Linked DNA regions of Canis lupus familiaris. The protein of the gene in region 1 purifies or fractionates together with the protein of each later gene. This does not show direct contact. Links are inferred from orthologs where the notes say so. Each region holds a gene or a part of one and is shown in the gene's direction. Other genes may lie near its edges.

Region 1 (4,254 bases):
AATCTGCCTTCAGAGCCTTTGTTTTAGTATTTTCTGAGGGCAGCCCCAATATTGGGGGTGGGGGGTGATCTTGGAGAAAACTGTTATTTTGGTTACTCACAAAATATTTTTATTCTAAAACCTCTGCCCGCAGGTGAACCAGTGTGTTATTGGTACGGCCCAGGCTAACAGGAAATGAAGACAGATCCAGATCCTCTGTTTGGGAAGGGGGGGTGGGGGTGGCGCTGAAGGATGCTTTGTTGGGGGGAGGGGCGCTCTGTGACCTGGGTCTATCAAATAAAGAACAAGTTTTTTTTCTTTAAATAAAGGTTTTGTTAACAATGGCCCGTATCTGTAAAAATGGGAACTGTGGATCGTCTACTCTGCCGAGTATTTGTGTTTTGCAGAGCAAGGGTTTCAGCTTTTCTCTACCTGGCTATCTCCTGGAGACTAGATGGTTACCCTGGTTGTCCGCCTCTAGGAGATGTGCCCACTGGCCGACCGCCGTCACTGGTTTGCCGCAGGCCACCCAGCTCCACGCGGAGAGCTCGTCTGGTGGGTGCGGGAAAGTGGAAGCCCGAGTCCAGAGGCCGGGCCAGCGAGCCCTCCTGCAAACTGCGGGCTCTCCCTCCCGCTCTTTCCTTGCCGTCCCATTCGAAGAACTGGGGCCGGCCCGCCCGCTGCCCATTGGCTGGCTCTCGGCGGCGTTACCGCCTCGCTACTAGCTCTCCCGGTCCGTGTACCCGCCCTACAGGCGCTGGGTGGGCTGCACGCCCGCTGACTCGCTCGCGCCAACCGCCAACGGCCACCGCCCGGCAAAGGAGGGGCTCGGTCCACCCAGGTGCCGCGCGCGGGAGGGGTCACGCATGCGCAGAAGCGCGGCGGCGGTGTGGCGGGGGGAGACTTACCACGGGGAGGGCGGGGCCGGGGCAAAGGCGGGAGGAAGGCGGGGCACTCGAGGGAGGAGGGCGTGGCGGGGGCGACGGGACGGGTGAATGGGGGGCGGGGTCGTGAACTGGGGCCGAGGGGCGGGACTTGGAGTGACCATGGAGGTTGGGGGGGCAGTTAACGGATGTGGCATGGGGCGGGGGCCAGGCTGGAGACCAGCTGCGGGGAAGGGGGGGATTCCCTGCTGCCCCGAGGGCGGATCTCCCTCCGAGGAAGGGGCTGCAGGGATTCCCTCTCGCACTGGGTCTTGACTTTCCACCCGCCCCAGCCGTGGGGAGGCCGCCACCCGTTCGGCGCCCTCCAGGCCCGTTGGAGGTGAGGGAGGTGGGGTGAGGTGGTGCCCGCCCCCCCCCCGGCTCCTCCTTCCCCTCAGTCCTCCCCTCCCACTACCCTCCCCCCGAGCCGGTTTGTCCCTCCCCTCCCCTCCCCTCCTTCCCCCCGCCGCCTCCTCCTGCCGCTGCCGCTGCTTTGGCTGCTGCGTCATACGCCCCAGAGCTGCCGGGACGGAGGGGCTGGGCCTGGGGACCCCCCGGCCCTTGCCTGCCCGCCCTCCGACGCCCAGACGTGCCCTCCCCGCGCGGGGGGTTCGCCTCGGTCTCCCACGTCTGCCTCTGCCCGGCTCCCGGCGGCCCCAGCTGTCACTGGTAAGGAGGCGGCGGGAGGCGCCCGTGGGGGGGGGCAGGGAGCCGGGGGTCGGCGCGCAGGGCGCGGGCGGGAGAGCCTCGCCGCCCAGGCATCAGCTCGCGCTGGGCTGACTCAAGTCCCCTCTCGGACTCGCTGTCCTGGGGAGTAGAGACCGGGACTGGGACACGCCCCCCTCCCAGGGCACTCAAGGAAGTTATCTAACCCGGGGGACAGGGAGCCCCGTATTTGAGGGTGACCTGCCATAACCTGGCATCGGGATTATTGTTCTGGAGACACAGGGGCCCGGGGAGGCAGCCGTTTCTAATTTGGAAAACATTTCCAGAAAAGCTCCCAAAACACATTCTCTGGGTAGCAGAACACCCCAATTACAGTATCTCTAAACAGAAGGTGACAGTAGAAACTGAATGGTAACCTTTGCTTCTGCAACCATCATTCCTCCTAAAATCTCAAGGCCAGGATACAGTATCCCAGGGGAGCTCTGGAAGCTGGGAAACTAGAGAACTAGGTTGGGGGGTGGGGGGTGTTAGGGAGAGGAGAGCCAGTCACCAGAGTTGGAAAAGCTGGAGTCATGAAGCTTGGGAGGGGTGCTGTGTGATTTCCTATCCAGGTATTTCATATTTGGAGACTGGTAGCACAGCTGCTTGAGTCCTTGAGGCATAGAAAAATGGGGACAGTTTCTCAACATTCATAACCTTCTCCCATCCCACTTCTGGATAGCCCCCCCCCCCAGGATGCAATGGCACAGCCCCCCCGGCTGAGCCGCTCTGGTGCCCCCCCACTTTGGGACCCAGCCTCCCCTGCTCCCACCTCAGGCCCCAGGCCTCGACTTTGGGAGGGTCAAGATGTGCTGGCCAGGTGGACGGATGGACTGCTATACTTGGGGACCATCAAGAAAGTAAGACCTTTGACTTCTGACTTATTACCTTCCCCCCATTCTCCTTATGTAGTTCCGATTCCTGTTTCATCTCCTGTGCTCATCCATTCCAGGTGGACAGTTCCCGGGAGGTGTGTCTGGTCCAGTTTGAGGACGATTCCCAGTTTCTGGTTCTATGGAAAGACATTAGCCCTGGTGAGACCTTAGAGGCCCAAATATATGCATGCTGTGGAAAGCAGAAACCTGGCTTGGGGGATGTAAAGGGGGCTTAAGGACAGGCCCCACAACACTGTTCCCTCACAGCTGCCCTCCCCGGGGAGGAACTCCTCTGCTGTGTCTGTCGCTCTGAGACTGTGGTCCCTGGAAACCGGCTGGTCAGCTGTGAGAAGTGTCGCCACGGTGAGAGGGCAGGATACCTAAATGGTCTAGCTTGCCCTGAACCTTCCAGGCTGCCTCTAAGTCTTCCCTCCACCACTGATCCTTAGGCCACCTGTCCTGGCTGAGTCCCCAAGCCACTGCTCTGGCCAGTCTGCTCAACTCTGTAACCTCTCTTCCAGCACAGGGAGAAATAGCCATGGAATCAGGAGGTGTGGGCTTTGTAGACAGAGGATGGTTCAAATACACCTTTACTAACCATAAAACCTTGGGCAAATTCCCAAGCCCCTAGGAGCCTGTCTCCTCACCTGTAAAATAAGGGTAACTTATCTACTGCAGCCAGATCACAGTCAAAGATGAAATGAGGTGGCCCAGACTCCTCCTATCCCAGTCACTAGCACACACAGGTATATTGTGCAATAAATGGTCTACCATCAATATTATCATTATTCAGCTTATCACCAGGACTGCCACGTTCCAAGAGCCCCAGCCCCTGGAGAGGGAGAGGGCACATCCTGGGTCTGTCGCCAGTGTGTCTTTGCCATTGCCACCAAGGTAAGGTCACCATTCTGTGGGAGCCTCCCCCACCACCTCTCCCAAGCCTTCCTGTTCCCTACCCGTCTGAGGTGGCCTGTTTCCTCCCTGCAGAGGGGGGGTGCACTGAAGAAGGGCCCCTATGCCCGGGCCATGCTGGGCATGAAGCTGTCACTGCCATATGGACTAAAGGGGCTAGACTGGGACGCTGGACATCTGAGCAACCGACAGCAGAGCTACTGTTACTGTGGTGGCCCTGGGGAGTGAGTAAATGAGGGACAGGGGTGGAGGAGTGGTGGGGAGGGAATGAATGATGGAGTGGGTGGGGGGATCCTGGGGAATGAAGGAGAAAAAATAGGATGAAGGGAGTGCTGAAGAAAGCAGAAGTAGGTGGTGAGTAGGGTTTGGGGCCATTCAGGTCGGGGCAGTGTCTGGAGGTCACCAGTCCTGTGTTCCCTCTCAGGTGGAACCTGAAAATGTTGCAGTGCCAGAGCTGCCTGCAGTGGTTCCATGAGGCCTGCACCCAGTGTCTGAGCAAGCCGCTCCTCTACGGGGACAGGTGAGATGGGGCTGGCTCTCTGGGAGCCAAGGGAGAATACTCTTGCCCTGCTCTACCCTCTCAGGCCCCCATGCTGCTTCAGCTCCATGTCTCCCCAGCCTCTGAAGCTCACCTCCCCTACGCACCCCATCCTTATTCATAAGTCCTCCACGCTCTCTCCCCCTCGCCCACTTCCAGGTTCTACGAGTTCGAATGCTGTGTGTGTCGGGGTGGCCCTGAGAAGGTCAGGAGGCTACAGCTTCGCTGGTGAGTGGGCACCACCTCCACATGGCTCCTCTCTCAGCACCCCCAGCCTCCCACCTTGGGCTCTCCAGGCTTTTGTATTGACAAATCATTATTT
Region 2 (4,299 bases), on another chromosome or scaffold:
AAAATAGAAGTCAGATTTGTGCTCCGCAAACCATAGCAATCTTTAGGGATGATAGCTAAATGTTTAAATAGAAGATCAGAATATGTACTATACTTTTGTGTTTACTATTATCTCATTTACTCCCCAGTTAAGGAACTATGGTGCCATGAGAGATTATATAACTTGCCACAAGTTATGAAGCTGTTCATGGCAAAACCAGGTCTTTTTTTTTTTTTTTTTTTTTTTAAAGATTTTATTTATTTCTTCACGAGAGACACAGAAGAGAAGCGACTCCTCGCAGGAGCCGGAGGCGGGGCTTAATCCCGAATCCCGGGATCACGCCCTGGGTTGAAGGCAGACGCCCAACCGCTGAGCCACCCAGGCATCCCCAAACCAGGTCTTTTTACTAAAAGCACGATCCAGGTAAAACACCAAATTACATGTCCCCTACTCAGCTAAGTCCTCTAACCTAATGATACTCTAACCACCCCACTGTTGGGAAACACATACGGGCGACCACCCGGCAAATGCTTGAAAATACGTTTATCTTTAGAATGAAGACACTGGTAAAATTCCCACGAGGTAATGGGACTAGGTAAATGTAGAAAGAATTCAAGGAACCATAAAAGTGGCAGCCCAGTTTTCTGACTCTCAGGCCAGGTGGCTGTTCCCTTCAGCACTCCCGGCTGAAGCACCTCAGGGGCAAAGCGGAAGGCGAGACCGGAAGACCTGGGCAAGGCGAAAGGGCATGAGAGAAGTGAGCCATCTACTCACACTCGTACTTCCGAATGGCTGGAGGATACTTGGCCTTGATCGCCTTCTGCTCTTCAGTCAAATTGTAATCTCGAATATCTTCCTCTTCCTGCGCCATAATTGCCGCACTGGACACTCTACTTCCGCCCTTCATTAGCTGGACTTCAGCCCTGATTTACAACTTCCGCTCTAGACTCCGCCCCTTGGCACGCGCCCTTAAAGCACCAGGACCCCATTCTCGCAGATAGACTTTATATGGTTAACACTTCTGTCCTAGGACTCGCTGCCGGAAGCACATCTTTAATAGGCTTCGGCCCTATTTCTGCGTTTCTTCATCCGTTCTAAGAACAAAGGAAACATACACACTGGAGGACGTGGGAGGAGGGAGACACTTTAGAACTAAATACCCGCTTGTCTGGGTGGTGAGAAGCCTTTTCTTTTTACCTCACAGAGTCGATAACTACACCCGAAGCCACCCTAGATTTCTCATCTGAGTACTTTTAAAGTGTCGGGAGCTGCACAGCTTTTAAGAAAATGGCTGCCCCCTGGAGAGTGCGGACTAAACCTCTCACGTGACCCGACGCGCGCACTCCCACCGGGTCCGCGCGCGCGCAATCGTAGGAAGTCGGCTCCCGGCCGTGTCGGGGCAGGGGAGGGGCGCGCACCTCGGCACCGCAGAAAGCGACTCTGCGCGTCTGGATAGGCTGCAAACGCGGCTTCCCCGCCCACCCCGCCGTTCGGGACGCTGCGATTGGCCGGTGTTGGCGCGAAGGTGCGCGAGTAGGCCCTCACGCAGGGGCAGCAGGAAACAATAGAGGCCGCGCGCGCAGAGCGAGCGCCTGTAGCCTCCCCGCCCCTCCCGCAGCGCTCGACCCCGGGATCCCCCCGGCTCGCCTGCCCGCCATGGCCGACAAGGAAGGTAAGGGCCGCCCCGGGAGGGCGGGGGGTGCCGGGCTGGCGCCGCGGCCTCGACAGGGCCTAGCAGTGAAGGCAAGCCCGACTCTTGAGTGCTGTCCCCACCATCGAAGGCGTGAGGAGAAATCGCCCCGCGGGCGGGCTAACGGCGCGCCAGTTCCTCCGACACGGAGGCCGGTGGCCGCGGTGTGGAGCTGGTGGGGGGGCCCCGGCGGGTGTTTGGGCCCTCCCCGCGCTCGCTGTCGGCCTGCCCGCCTCTCGCGTTCTGCGTGCGCTGCTCCCTACCCCGGGGGCCGGTGCGCGGGCCTCCGCGCGGGTTCCGTCGATTCAGCGGGAACGCGAGCGTGCTCCCGAGGCCCGGCGCCGGCGCCCGAACAGCTAACGGGAGTGACGCGCCCCGCTAGCCCGAGAGTAATTGCGGGCCCGCGAGGCGGGGAGGGGTGCAGGTCGCTCCGCCTCGGGGACATTTAGACATATCTGCTCCATTTCAGAATCTTGACTTAATAAGCAGTGCCGGTAGCTTTGGAAGCGTTGGCTCGGTTTCCATTTGTGTTCGCTAACTTAATTTGTTTTTTAACTTTTTAGCAGCCTTTGATGACGCAGTAGAGGAACGTGTGATCAACGAAGAGTACAAAATATGGAAAAAGAACACCCCTTTTCTTTACGATTTGGTGATGACCCATGCTCTGGAGTGGCCTAGCCTAACTGCACAGTGGCTTCCAGATGTAACCAGGTGATGTGAATCTCTTGAACGTTATCTTGTGTCCTCCTCAGCGTTGATTTCTCACGTTGATTTTTCCGTGTCTTCCCCCAGTCACCCGAAGAGGGCACGTAATGATAACCTATGGGTGATGTTTTTTTCCTAGGCCAAAAAATAATACAAAATGTAAAAATAGTTTTGCAATGTACCTGATAAGAGAAAACTTGTTTTCTTTTCCTGATAACGAATTGAATAGCCTGTTATAATTACAGTTGGAAAATAATGTAAAATGTGTCAGTTTTCAAAAAAAGCTATGATTTCAGTTCTTTCAGCAAAATATTTGAATTGTAGGTAGTAGCTGGTTAATATAAAGAGGTATATGACATGGTACCTGCCTTCAAGGAGCACAAGTGTAATTGAGGCCCATGTAAACTAATAATTACAGTAACCTATGCTAAAAGCAGTTTTACAGAGATACTTAGGATATTTAGAACTAAGAACTGAAGATGGGGTGGTTTGGGGGTTTTATATAAGGGAATTATGCATAGTGAGAGAGAAATCACATGTAGGGAAGGTCTTAAATGTGACAAGCTTACCTCTAAGAAGGTAAGCTTAATAGTACTTAATTTACTTTCCATTTGTTTAGTCTGCTAGGTGCTATAAATTAGGGTGTACAAGTTTAGATGGACACCTTCCCTGCCTTGATTTCTTGTGTATATAGTATGGTAGATTACCACCCCCCTTATTTGTAGGGAGTATGGCCAAAGATCCCCAGTGGGTGTCTGAAACCACGGATGGTACTGAACTCTGTTATGTTTCTGAACATACATAATTGTGATAAAGCTTAATTTATAAATTAGAAACGGTAAAAGATTAATAGAACAATGGTTATATAGCTTTGTGCAGGGGGCAGTATCGTAGCCAATGAGGTTTATCCGAGGCACGATTATTGCTAATAAAACAATGGTTATAACAACATACCATAATAAAAGCTGAGTGTGATCTCTTGCTGTCAAAATGTTTCACTGTAATCACCCTTCAAGTAATATTGTTGAGAAAATGCCTGTGTGATGAAGTGAGGTGAATGACATGGGCATTGTGATGAAGTATTAAGCTACTTATTTACCTGATAAATCAGAAGGGAGATCATCTACTTCTGGAGGGCATCGTGGTTGACTGTGGGTAACTGAAACCATGGATGGGGGTTTTCTACTGTATTACAGTAAAAAGTATCATAAGAGTAGCACAGTTAAAATGATCAAGGGAAGGAAAAATCACCTCAACTTAGGGTATCATGAAAGGCTTCCAGGAGAAAGTGACAATGCAAAGATGAAGGTGAATTTAAATAATTAAAGGTTTATCAAGACCAAAGTGCCTGTTGGAATAATGGGTTTTCTTTTATAAAATTGCTTCACCATTCAGAGTAACATTTAAAAATTATATTGTGTGCTGAATAACTAAATTCCTTCGAAATTCATCTCTTTCGAGTTCAAAATATGGTTATTAGGCTATGTTTCAGCTCAACAAGTAATAGAAATTTTATTAATTACTTAAACAGGTTGCTACCTTCACAGTGGCATTAAAAAATGAAGAAGTAGAGTTGGAAGCTTTATCATGATCCATGTTCACCTATGGGTCATCAGAATTGCTTGAGCTCGAGGAGCCTGGGTGGCAGTCTGTTAAGTGGCTGACTCTTGGTTTCAGCTCAGGTGGTGGTCTCAGGGTCAGGAGATCGAGCCTGTCACTCTGTACAGAAGACTTCTTCTACCCCTCCCCACACACTCTACTCCCTTGGGCTTGCACTCACTTGCACTCTTTCTTTTTTTTAAGAAAATATATTTATTTTATTTGAGTTCAGGTTAAGTGGAGTCATTTCTGTCAGGAGTTCTCAGTGATAGTCAAATCATTTAGAAACTGGTGGCAGGGGGGATCCCTGGGTGGCTCAGCGGTTT
Region 3 (3,158 bases), on another chromosome or scaffold:
TCTTCCTTTGGCCCTGCTTTTGAACCATTCATATGTTAGTGAAACGGGCAGAGCTGCAACATGTGGCTGTGTGGGCTGTGTCCTGTAAAACTCCGGAAAGCTCTCTACCAACAGGAATTTCTCAGTCCAGGTTCTGTTGAAATACTGGGCTACACAATCTTTATTTTTAATGGGAGGGGCCATCCTGTATATTGATTGTAGGATGTAGCAGCATCTCTGGCCTCTACCTGCTAAAGGCCAGGGACATTGCCAAATGTTCCTTAATTGGCACACCACTGACCTATAATATGAATAGTGCCCACTGTGTTGCAGTTTTTTTTCAGCAAAGATACTATGTTACAGAATAAGAAAAGTATAACTTAGTCTATTTCAGTCGTATCCCCATATCAATGTCTTGATTTAAACCACTGAGTTTATTACCTTCTATATAATATGATTTTTAAGGCCTCTAAGCAGGGGCCATACTGAAAAGCATATTTTTGTATAGAGTTTTTATAATTTTATCGTTTATAATTTTATAAATTATAATTTTATATTTTATAACATATAATTTTATATATATATTTTTTAATTTTATATTTTATATTTTATAACAAATGTTATAAAACACTCAAGTCTCTGGATGCCAGAGTATTGAGAGCTGAATTTGGTTTGGAAAAGAAATTCTGACTTCAAAATGGATATTCCAGATAATATAATGCTTTTTAATATTGTCAAATTCTGTTGTAAGATGACCTCTTATCCTCAAGTGTGGACCTTGACTCTGTAAATATAAATAAATGTATATCACTGTATCTACTAGATGGATAACCAGGTCTTAAGACTGTCAATTCTAAAAAGATAATAGAGAAAAGAAGGCTTTGTTTTAAGTTTTAAATTTCAGTTCTATATGTAACAATTTTTTCTCATTTCTGTCTTCTAAAGTCTTGTGAAAATGCCATTGTGTGCTGGAAACCTGGCAAAATGGAAGATGATATAGATAAAATTAAACCCAGTGAGTCTAATGTGACTATTCTTGGGCGATTCGATTACAGCCAGTGTGACATTTGGTACATGAGGTTTTCTATGGATTTCTGGCAAAAGGTAGCAACATATTTCTACATTTTAAAATTACTTCAGACCATTGTAATTTCACTTTTCTCTGTTGTGCATCCATGTTCAGTTTCCTCTAAGAATCTACCTTGATATCTTGTAGTGATTGATTACTTTAGCCGTTGATGTTATTTATTCTATCTTTATAGAGTAGGCTCTCCACACCATTTGCAGTGCGTATTATAAATGCAGTTGACAGGTGTCAATCTTGGCAATGGTGCTTACTTTCCATAACATCTGTTACTAAGATTTAATGTTATGGTGATTGAATGTTAACTTTTTAAATAGCTTTTTTGTAGAAAAGCTTAGAGAAATTTTAGAGATTGGTGTTATGAATTTGTAGTAACAAATTATCTGGGTATTTATTTCTATAAGAAAACTTTGGAGGAGCTGTCTGTAGCTTTTGCTACAATGTAAATTGTAAAGTCCTTCATAAATTTGCCTTCTAATTTGCTCAGGATGCCTCTGAAGTATAAGTTGCTGTTATCCATTTACGAATCAGAAGTATAAGATACAAAGAAATAGAAATAATCAGGAGTATAGCCATAGTCTGGAACTGAGGTTTTTATGAAATATGAATATATCTTAGGAATATTTGAATGCTCTATAGCCTATTTTAATAATTTGGTGTTTTTAAAAATACGTTTATACAGATGCTTGCATTGGGCAATCAGGTTGGCAAACTTTATGTTTGGGATTTAGAAGTGGAAGATCCTCATAAAGCTAAGTAAGTATTTAGAAATTTTTATTGATAATTTCTGTCTTTTTCTCAAACGCTATGCCAATATTTAATTTATTCATGAGAGACACAGAGAGGCAGAGACACATAGAGGGAGAAGGAGGCTCCGTGCTTGGAGCCTGATTGGGACTCAATCCCAGGACTCCGGGATCACAACCTGGGACGCTCAACCATTGAGCCACCCATGGATCCCTTGAAGTATCATTCTTAAATCATTTTTAACATTTATATGACTCAGTTATTTAAAAATATTTTTTATTCTCATAATGGCTGTTTATCATGAGTACTTTGGTGACAAGTTACACCTTTCTTTTTATTAATTTAAAATATACCCAAATGTTATGAAATTAGAGATTGAGCTCTTAGTGATATTTTAAATGCTTTCCATATGACTTGGAACATCTGTTTGTTTTCTTATTCGTTGGTTTAATTTGCTACTGACAATATTTATGAATGGCTTTTAACCTATTGTCTTGTTTTTTCCTAGATGTACAACACTGACTCATCATAAATGTGGTGCTGCTATTCGACAAACCAGTTTTAGCAGGGATAGCAGTATTCTTATAGCTGTTTGTGATGATGCCAGTATTTGGCGCTGGGACCGACTTCGATAAAATATTTTTTCCTTATCAAAATTAGAGTGTGTTTTCTGTGTATAATAGAATTAATGTATCTTGCTAGTAAGGGCACATAGAGCATTTAGAGTTGTCTTTCAGCATTCAATCAGGCTGAGCTGAATGTAGTGATGTTTACATTGTTTACATTCTTTGTACTGTCTTCTGCTCAGACTCTACTGCTTTTAATAAAAATTTATTTTTGTAAAGCTGTGTGTTTATTTTCATTGTGATAAAAAGAAATGTTGAAAGTAATAAAAGTATTCCCTTTCTTTTTTGTAATGATCATTTTTGTAGTCCTTTTAACTGAAGAAAGCTATATAATGTAGTGATTAAGTGTAAGCTCTAGGATTAAGCGGACTTTAGTCTTGGCTCTGCAAACATGAGCTGAGCTAAGTAATTTAACATCTACCTCAGTTTCTTCTTGTGTGAAACAGGGATAAGAATACCTACCTCATAGGGTTATTAAGGATCAAATGATTAAATAAGTGAAGCAGCTGGAATAGTACTCAGATGTACCCTAAATACATTGTTGCTTCTTTTTTATAAAGATTTCATTCATTCATTCATTTATTCGAGAGAGATCACAAGCAGGGGGAGTGGTAGAGGGAGAAGCAGACTCCTTGCTGAGCAAGGATCCTAAAGTGGGACTTGATCCCAGGATCCTGGGATCATGACCTGAGCCAAAGGCAGACGCTGAACTGACTGAGCCA
Region 4 (4,103 bases), on another chromosome or scaffold:
GCCTAACAGGGAGGCCCCTCGGCTTTAGCAGTCAAAAAACGCCCGCGGCCTCTGTAAAAGGTTTCCTCAGCCTGCAACGAACCCCACCTCAGCTCGACCGGACCCCGGGAAAAGCCAGTCGACTAGAGGGAAGCCTTTCAGGGTACACAGAATTGCATGCCCGTGATTATCCGGGAGACGTTGAGGGCACAGTAATCTCTCGAGACTAGAAACCATTTTCCTCTCGCTCTGAGATTTTGCTTGGCTAAGCCGCGTCAACCTCCCTGCCCCCCTCCCACCCCACCGCCACGGCCGCTGCAAGCAGCCACGCCCCGCGGCCCCGGGGCTCACAGCCCCCGCGCAGCCCGCACGCCGCGCCCCCATCCGCCCCACCCCCGCGCGCCCCCATCCGCCCCCGCGCCCGGCCCTGGGAGCGCTGGGCGAGCCCTCGCGCCTGCGCCTCGCCAACTTCCTGCCGCGGAACGCCCCGCCCACCCCCAGAAGCCCGCCCACAAATGCCGCGTGAAACCTGCGTGCCGCACCTCATTGGTTGAAACAACCGAGCCGTTGGCTCCCAGGCCCGCCTCTCCACCGCCTCTCACTTTTCCCAGGGCGGATGCGCCTGCGCTCAGCTGCCTGGGCGGGCTGGGAGGCGCGGGTTGAAAAGTCTCGTTCCAAGTTTGGAGAGAGAGAGAAGAGCGCCTCAGACCTCGGTACCCGCGAGCGGGGAGGAGGCAGGAGAGAAGGACGCAGCGTTTGGGGAGCACCCAGGCCGTAAGACGGAGCTCACGCTTCGAGAGCTAGAAGTGTGTGACGCGCCTGGGCGAGGCAGGAACGCCTGCGGTTGGGCTGCTGTTGGCTAGCGAGGGGAGTCCGAGGCGGCGGCGAGGGGCGAACGACCCGACGCAAGATGGCGAGTAAAGAGAGTAAGAGGCCCTGCGGGGCGGCGCGCGCCGGGACCGCGGGGGGCGGCGGGCGCGCGAGGCCGCGGCACGCGCCGGCGAAAGGCGCGAATTGGCGTGAGGAGCAGGGGGCGGGGCCGGGCGCGAGGCTAGGCGCGCGCCTCGAGGGGCCTACAGCGGGACGGGACCGCGGCGCGGAGGGCTCCGAGCACTTCCGGAGCCGGGCGCGGGGCCGCGGGTTGGGCCCCCTTCCCCCTCTGCCCCCCCCCGCTCCCCTCCCCCCCCTCTGGCGGCGGCGCTCCCTCCGGCGCCCTTGGCTCTCGGGCGGAGGCGGCCTCCGCCACCGGAAAGCGGACACGGCTGCTCCTTCCACGCGCGCGCGTCGACCGCTTCGGGGTCGCGGCCCTTGTCCGGGGGATTCTGGCACACGCCGGCCTATGGCTGCTGACGCGGGCTTCGTGGGAGCGGAGGCCGCTCCTGGTGGGGGATGGAGGGAGCGGGCCGAGGGGTTTCTGCTACACGTGGATTCGTCTCCCGGGGTGGGTCGTGGAGCCCCTGCACAGATGGGTCGTCATCTTAGAACAGGTGCGAACAGCTGTAACTGCTGAAACAAAATCGTCGTCTGTGTAATTGCCCAATTCTGTATACGCAAGCAGTATCGATTTCTAAGTGCAAAAAATAAGCTTCCTGGTGTTAATATTCTCCTCACGTTCTGGAAGAGCAGTTAGTTCGTGTCCAAATTAAACGTAAAGCTGAGGAGTAGATTAGGTGTGGCCATCTCGAGGTGACCTCCACTATCTGTGTACAGATTCTAACTCGATTTCTCTCAGCCACTTAATTGTGTGGGATTTCTCCAAATTTCAGTGTTTGAAGATACTGTGGAGGAGCGTGTCATCAATGAAGAATATAAAATCTGGAAGAAGAATACACCGTTTCTGTATGACCTGGTTATGACCCATGCTCTTCAGTGGCCGAGTCTTACCGTTCAGTGGCTTCCTGAAGTGACTAAGTAAGGGTTTCTGGCAACTTTTACTTTGCATAAATTTGACTATTATCCCGAAATTCCTAGTTTTGGCATTTTACACATAGAACATGAGCGTGTAATCAATTTAGCCCTTGCATGAGGTGGCAGGTGATTTTTATTTTCAAAACAAGTGATTTATGGGATGGTTTTTGATATGTAAGCGTGGGGACAAAGTGCGATTAATGATATTTGTGGGGAGCATCTAACGAATTTAACAGTTCTTGGGATTAAATATAGAGCAGCATTTTGGGGACCCAGACTAATGGATTTCTTTAAAACTTTATTGAAAAAGAGCACACGTACAGAAAAATGCACAAATCATAAGCATATGGCTGGATGGATTTTTACGAAGGGAGCACATCCATGTAACCAGCCACCACTATATGAATAGGTTTTTTTTTTTTTTTTTTTTTTTTTTTTTTAATTTATTTATGATAGTCACACAGAGAGAGAGAGAGAGGCAGAGACACAGGCAGAGGGAGAAGCAGGCTCCATGCACCAGGAGCCCGATATGGGATTCGATCCCGGGTCTCCAGGATCGCGCCCCGGGCCAAAGGCAGGCGCCAAACCACTGCGCCACCCAGGGATCCCTATATGAATAGGTTTTAATTGACAAAGGGAAAAAAGAATTTAGCAGTAGTTCACTGAAGAAAAGACGTTACTAGCTGATAGTGTGGAATACACTTGGAGGTTGCTGTTGGTTCTTTTCAGCCGTTTCTAAAATTTCTCTGGTAATAATTGCTGGTATTATTGAACACTTAAAATAGGGCCTGGCACATCTCAACAGTTTTGTGTCCAGTTGTTTAATATTCAGAATTATACTATGAAAAAGTATACTATGATTATTCTTTATCATCTTTGTCTTACTGTTGTGGAAACTGGGGTGGGGGTGTTAAAATACCCAGGATCATCCAGCAAGTGGTGGAGTGGGATTTTGAACCCAAACCGGGTACCCCAGAGTTGAGGCAACTCCTGTATTATTAGACTTTCTTAAGCGCTTGCACTTTTTCTAGTAGGAACTTGGCTGTGTACTTTAAAAGTATTTAATTTGGGTATTGTGAACATATATTTTTAATGAGGATTAACAAAACTAACGTAGGAAGGGGATTTTGAGACAATTTCTGAAAATAAGAGCAAGTTAATTTTCTATGAGGTTACTCCTTTAATGGCCGAATTCTCCATATGCAGACATTGTCTTCCATATAGGTAGAGGCTTTTATTAGGATTCCCCAAAATCAGTGTAAATACACAGATGTGATAAGAATAGCCAAGAAATAAAAAACAGACTTCAAAACACTGACATAACAATTTTGAACATCAAATACTTAAGGGTATTCAGGTTCTCCTTTGAGCACCATGTACTTTTGATTCTTTGTGCACTCCTGTTAAGTAAATTAAAACCTTTAACAGCTTAATTTACATTATTTTGGATCTTTTTGATCTACCTTACCAGCAGAACACAGCGGAGGTGTTTAGGACTCTAAGGTTAGAAACCTGAGTTTGAATCCTGCCGCCTGCTTCTTAATAGCTAAATTAGGGCACATTGGTCAGTCTCTATTCCCAAGCTGTCTGATCTGTAAGTGGAGGTGCTGGTGCTTCTGACTGCCTACTTTTGAGGAAATGAAATAAGATCATGCACTTTTAAAGTGCTGGCACAGAAGAAGTCCGCAATAAGTGGTGACTGATGCTGATTTTCTCCCCCTTTGTATTCAGAAATAATTAGACTGTAGTAACTGTGTTTCTCCATTTGGATTCCAGTGAAAACTGCTTATTCAAGTCTTCTGAAAATGTTATCTGTGTTTTGTGTAACAATTTTAAGGATGTTAAATGTGTATGTTCTTAGCCCGGATACTGCTTTTGAAAAGATTTTTATTTTTAAGTAATCTCTACACCCAACGTGGAGCTCAGATTTACAGCCCTGAGATCAAGAGTCACATGTTCCACCTACTGAGCCCGCCAGCCCCCCGCCAATACTGCTTTTATGTTAACACTTAAGAACTTAACAAAAAATACTTTAAATGATGTATTCCGTGGTGTTCTTTGCATACAAAGAAGTGGGATCTGGTTGTGGGATGTGCAGTTGCTCTGGGAATGCAAGAAAATGCCAGCCAGCCTGCATTCTTGGATGTTGAGGATGGCTGTGTGGTACTTTTGCAGGATTCTACTTGGAGTATGAAGGGACTGTGATTGTGTTTTGT
Region 5 (3,318 bases), on another chromosome or scaffold:
CCTTCCAGGGAAGCAACAAGAAACGTGGGACTCTTTTTCCTTTTTTTTTATTTTAATATTTATTTATTCATGAGAAACAGAGAGGCAGAGACATAGGCAGAGGGAGAGCCCAATGTGGGACTCGATCCGGGGACTCCAGGATCCCACCCTGAGCCAAAGGCAGGTGCTCAACTGTTGAGCCACCCAGGTGTCCCAAGGGAATCTTTTTCCTTAAGGAACAATCACAGCCTCCCTTTCTAGGATGTTGTGTTACAACACATATGGGTTATGATTCTATGCACAGCTGTTTTAGTTTAATACTTGGAGTTTTCCTATCAAGTCCATCTGGATGTCAGCAGAAGTAAGATAGAGGCTAAATGTGCTTCCCTTTTGCTTCTTATCACACCGTGCCCTTCCCTGCTCAAGGGTGAGCAGTTTGATAGCAGCCTCCAGACCTTGCAGAACTTGGTGCCCAGGCAGTTGTACTGGAAATACCTTCTAGCCCATAGCAGATATCGATCTTAGCCACAGCATAGGGGCACTTGTGCTGGGGAAGGCAATGGGTGGAGGGTGGCTTAGAACGGATGCATTCTGTTCTCAAAATGATTCTTATTTTGATGGTGATGATTTAACAGTGAAAAGCACTGATTTCATTTTCTCTGGTTCACTAACCACCTCCCTTCCAAATTCCACCAACAAGGGGGAGGGAGAGCATTGTTGAGGAATTTCTAAGAAACACATCTCCATGGTCAAGCCTGCTTTTTTTACTCCCAGGCATGACTGTCGGGAGGCAGTCATTTTCTCTGGAAAGAAACTTGACTGTATGATTATTGGCAAGGGAGTTTCTTTCCTATTTTGCCAAAATCTCCCTGAGCACATCACATTTACTTCCTTGCTGACCCTCAAGTCAGACCTGAGCCCCAGTATTAGCTGCCTCTGCTCCTAACCCTACCTGCCCCTCCCTTTTGTCCCCCACCCCCATCTCCACCCCAGGTCAGAATCGTTTTCCTGGCTGTCGCTGTAAGACCCAGTGCAACACCAAGCAATGTCCCTGCTACTTGGCAGTGCGAGAGTGTGACCCCGACCTGTGCCTCACATGTGGGGCCTCAGAGCACTGGGACTGCAAGGTGGTTTCCTGCAAAAACTGCAGCATCCAGCGAGGCCTCAAGAAGGTGAGGGCTTTTCTCAGGGCTGCGAGTCAAGTAATGGAGGGGGATAGATGGAGTTGCCCCAAGCAGATTCTTTCCACTGGTCCCTCAGAGGGCTTCATGTGACAGTGCTTGGCAAATCCTAAAGGATACATGTATACTGATTTAATGTGGTTTTCTGTCCTGGGGAGGAGTTCGGAAAGTGACTCCTGAGCTGAATAGCCCGAGAGAGCAGAGAGGAACACCCATCAGTGACATTGTCTGTTTCTACTTGATCCGCAGCAGTGAGTTCCTAACCCTTCAGGTCCAGGAGGCCCCCAGGCCTAGAGGAGGAGGAGTCACATTTCCTTTCGCCACCTCCCTTCTTTGTTTTTCCTCTCCCCAGAACAGAATGGCTTAGACCTTTTTCTGTTTTCAGATCCTCTTAACAGTTGCTAGTTCTTTCCACCCTGCCCACCCCTGGCACACGTGCACATCCAAGACATACCCCGCCCACTCACACATGCCCTGTAGTCTGAGGTTTGACTCCCTCTTCCCCAGCACCTGCTGCTGGCCCCCTCAGATGTGGCCGGATGGGGCACCTTCATTAAGGAGTCTGTGCAAAAAAACGAATTCATTTCTGAATACTGTGGTGAGGTGAGTGCTATCGGTTTGGACCACATTCCTATCTGGGGAGATACTGATGAGAAACTCTGATTTTCTGTGGGCCAGACTTCTATGACTTACTCTCTAAATAACTCAGCTGAGTTCCTGTGTGGCCTCTTGGGGGATCCCACAGAAGTGTTTGCAATCCTGAGATAAATCACTCTTCTGAAGTTCTTTGCCAACTCAGGCCACACAAGGGGGGTGGGCAGGGAGCTCTCTTCAGTCTCCAGCTGGTCACCCTGGGTGGGGATTGGAATGGACCACCTCAAGCTCTGTCTCCTGTGATTCTCATCGTGATGCTCAGTAAGCACCTATGTGTGACACTACCCCCTCTTAGTCCTTTCTGTGAGCAAGGTACCATGCCCCAAACAGACAGTCCAATCCCCCTGTTTGTTCCTTGTCTGTCTCTGCAGCTTATTTCTCAGGATGAGGCTGATCGACGGGGGAAGGTCTATGACAAATACATGTCCAGCTTCCTCTTCAACCTCAACAATGGTATGGAGTGTCTTTCTCTTGCCCCAAGGTAGTCTCAGGCAGGTCTTTCTACTAGCTTGCCATTGCTACAGCCCATGTTCAGATCAACTGTGATTTCTCCAGCTGGTACACAGAGCAAGGTGGGGAGCTTGAACTTTAAGACCCCATGAGCCACAGTTCACTCATTTTGGGAGAGCCCCCATTTGTGGGTAGTGCTTATAATTGGAGCAGTGAGCACTTGCAGTGAGCACTTGCATCTCAGAAATTTCCCTACCCAGTAGATGGGAAGATAATTCCAGCCAAATGGGGCAACCCAAAGAGAACATGCCCCACATGAGGCCATATTCTTATACTGCCTTCTGCTGGACTTCAAAATTCCCACTGGATTATTTCTGTTACTGTTTAATTGATTTTATTTTATTTTTTAAAGATTTTATTTATTTATTTATGAGAGAGAGAGAGAGAGCATGAGAGGCAGAGACAGAGGTAAAGGGAGAAGCAGGCTCCATGCAGGGAGCCTGACATGGGACTTGATCCCGGATCTCCAGGATCAGGGCCTGGGCTGAAGGCAGCGCTAAACCGCTGAGCCACCCGGGCTGCCCATGTTTAATTGATTTTAAAATCATGTTCAAGAAGCTGTGGATTTGCCTGGTGAGCTCATGATCTTTTTTTATATAGATTTTGTAGTAGATGCTACCAGAAAAGGAAACAAGATTCGATTTGCAAACCATTCAGTGAACCCCAACTGTTATGCCAAAGGTGAGTTCCCAGTCACCTGGGAGGTAGGGTGAGTGATGGATGCTTTATTTACTATGATTTTTATGAACTATGTACCTTTTTTCATTGCTGAGTTATTTTTTGTCCAAAGACAATCACGATTAACGTCTGGTATCATTTTGAGTCTCTTTTGTAATTGGCTTTCTTCACTGAATACATTATAAAGATTTACCCACAAACAAGAATCTTTTGAAGGTGATCTTCCTATATCACCAGTCAGAATAATAGATCTAAAGCAAGGAAGCAACTGTCTTCACTGACTGGTTTTTACTCACACTTCACTTATGTTTTTCCT

What was found.
Region 2: the proteins of PHF1 (region 1) and RBBP4 purify together in Homo sapiens (affinity purification with mass spectrometry; 5 studies listed by BioGRID and IntAct, with this or other methods). This does not show direct contact. The link is inferred for Canis lupus familiaris from reciprocal best matches to the Homo sapiens genes PHF1 and RBBP4.
Region 3: the proteins of PHF1 (region 1) and EED purify together in Homo sapiens (affinity purification with mass spectrometry; 8 studies listed by BioGRID and IntAct, with this or other methods). This does not show direct contact. The link is inferred for Canis lupus familiaris from reciprocal best matches to the Homo sapiens genes PHF1 and EED.
Region 4: the proteins of PHF1 (region 1) and histone-binding protein RBBP7 purify together in Homo sapiens (affinity purification with mass spectrometry; 7 studies listed by BioGRID and IntAct, with this or other methods). This does not show direct contact. The link is inferred for Canis lupus familiaris from reciprocal best matches to the Homo sapiens genes PHF1 and RBBP7.
Region 5: the proteins of PHF1 (region 1) and EZH1 purify together in Homo sapiens (affinity purification with mass spectrometry; 5 studies listed by BioGRID and IntAct, with this or other methods). This does not show direct contact. The link is inferred for Canis lupus familiaris from reciprocal best matches to the Homo sapiens genes PHF1 and EZH1.

The regions. Positions count from the first base shown.
Region 1 is NC_049233.1:2,998,910-3,003,163, forward strand, and holds the start of PHF1 (PHD finger protein 1), read left to right. Parts: upstream 1-1,442; 5' UTR 1,443-1,571; intron 1,572-2,289; 5' UTR 2,290-2,308; coding exon 2,309-2,467; intron 2,468-2,559; coding exon 2,560-2,641; intron 2,642-2,749; coding exon 2,750-2,845; intron 2,846-3,275; coding exon 3,276-3,376; intron 3,377-3,469; coding exon 3,470-3,618; intron 3,619-3,818; coding exon 3,819-3,914; intron 3,915-4,091; coding exon 4,092-4,160; intron 4,161-4,254. Other genes in the region: kinesin-like protein KIFC1, read left to right, coding at 134-178. UniProt on the Homo sapiens protein: Polycomb group (PcG) that specifically binds histone H3 trimethylated at 'Lys-36' (H3K36me3) and recruits the PRC2 complex. Involved in DNA damage response and is recruited at double-strand breaks (DSBs).
Region 2 is NC_049223.1:68,051,754-68,056,052, reverse strand, and holds the start of RBBP4 (histone-binding protein RBBP4), read left to right. Parts: upstream 1-1,490; 5' UTR 1,491-1,635; coding exon 1,636-1,651; intron 1,652-2,232; coding exon 2,233-2,380; intron 2,381-3,241; exon of another isoform or gene 3,242-3,402; intron 3,403-4,299. Other genes in the region: ZBTB8OS (protein archease), read right to left, coding at 754-886. UniProt on the Homo sapiens protein: Core histone-binding subunit that may target chromatin assembly factors, chromatin remodeling factors and histone deacetylases to their histone substrates in a manner that is regulated by nucleosomal DNA.
Region 3 is NC_049242.1:13,357,252-13,360,409, reverse strand, and holds the end of EED (polycomb protein EED), read left to right. Parts: intron 1-924; coding exon 925-1,083; intron 1,084-1,745; coding exon 1,746-1,819; intron 1,820-2,318; coding exon 2,319-2,445; 3' UTR 2,446-2,654; downstream 2,655-3,158. UniProt on the Homo sapiens protein: Polycomb group (PcG) protein. Component of the PRC2/EED-EZH2 complex, which methylates 'Lys-9' and 'Lys-27' of histone H3, leading to transcriptional repression of the affected target gene.
Region 4 is NC_049260.1:13,088,411-13,092,513, reverse strand, and holds the start of histone-binding protein RBBP7, read left to right. Parts: upstream 1-1,303; 5' UTR 1,304-1,318; coding exon 1,319-1,466; intron 1,467-1,745; coding exon 1,746-1,890; intron 1,891-1,896; exon of another isoform or gene 1,897-2,296; intron 2,297-2,507; exon of another isoform or gene 2,508-3,927; intron 3,928-4,103. UniProt on the Homo sapiens protein: Core histone-binding subunit that may target chromatin remodeling factors, histone acetyltransferases and histone deacetylases to their histone substrates in a manner that is regulated by nucleosomal DNA.
Region 5 is NC_049230.1:20,160,940-20,164,257, forward strand, and holds part of EZH1 (histone-lysine N-methyltransferase EZH1), read left to right. Parts: intron 1-972; coding exon 973-1,151; intron 1,152-1,667; coding exon 1,668-1,763; intron 1,764-2,185; coding exon 2,186-2,267; intron 2,268-2,924; coding exon 2,925-3,005; intron 3,006-3,318.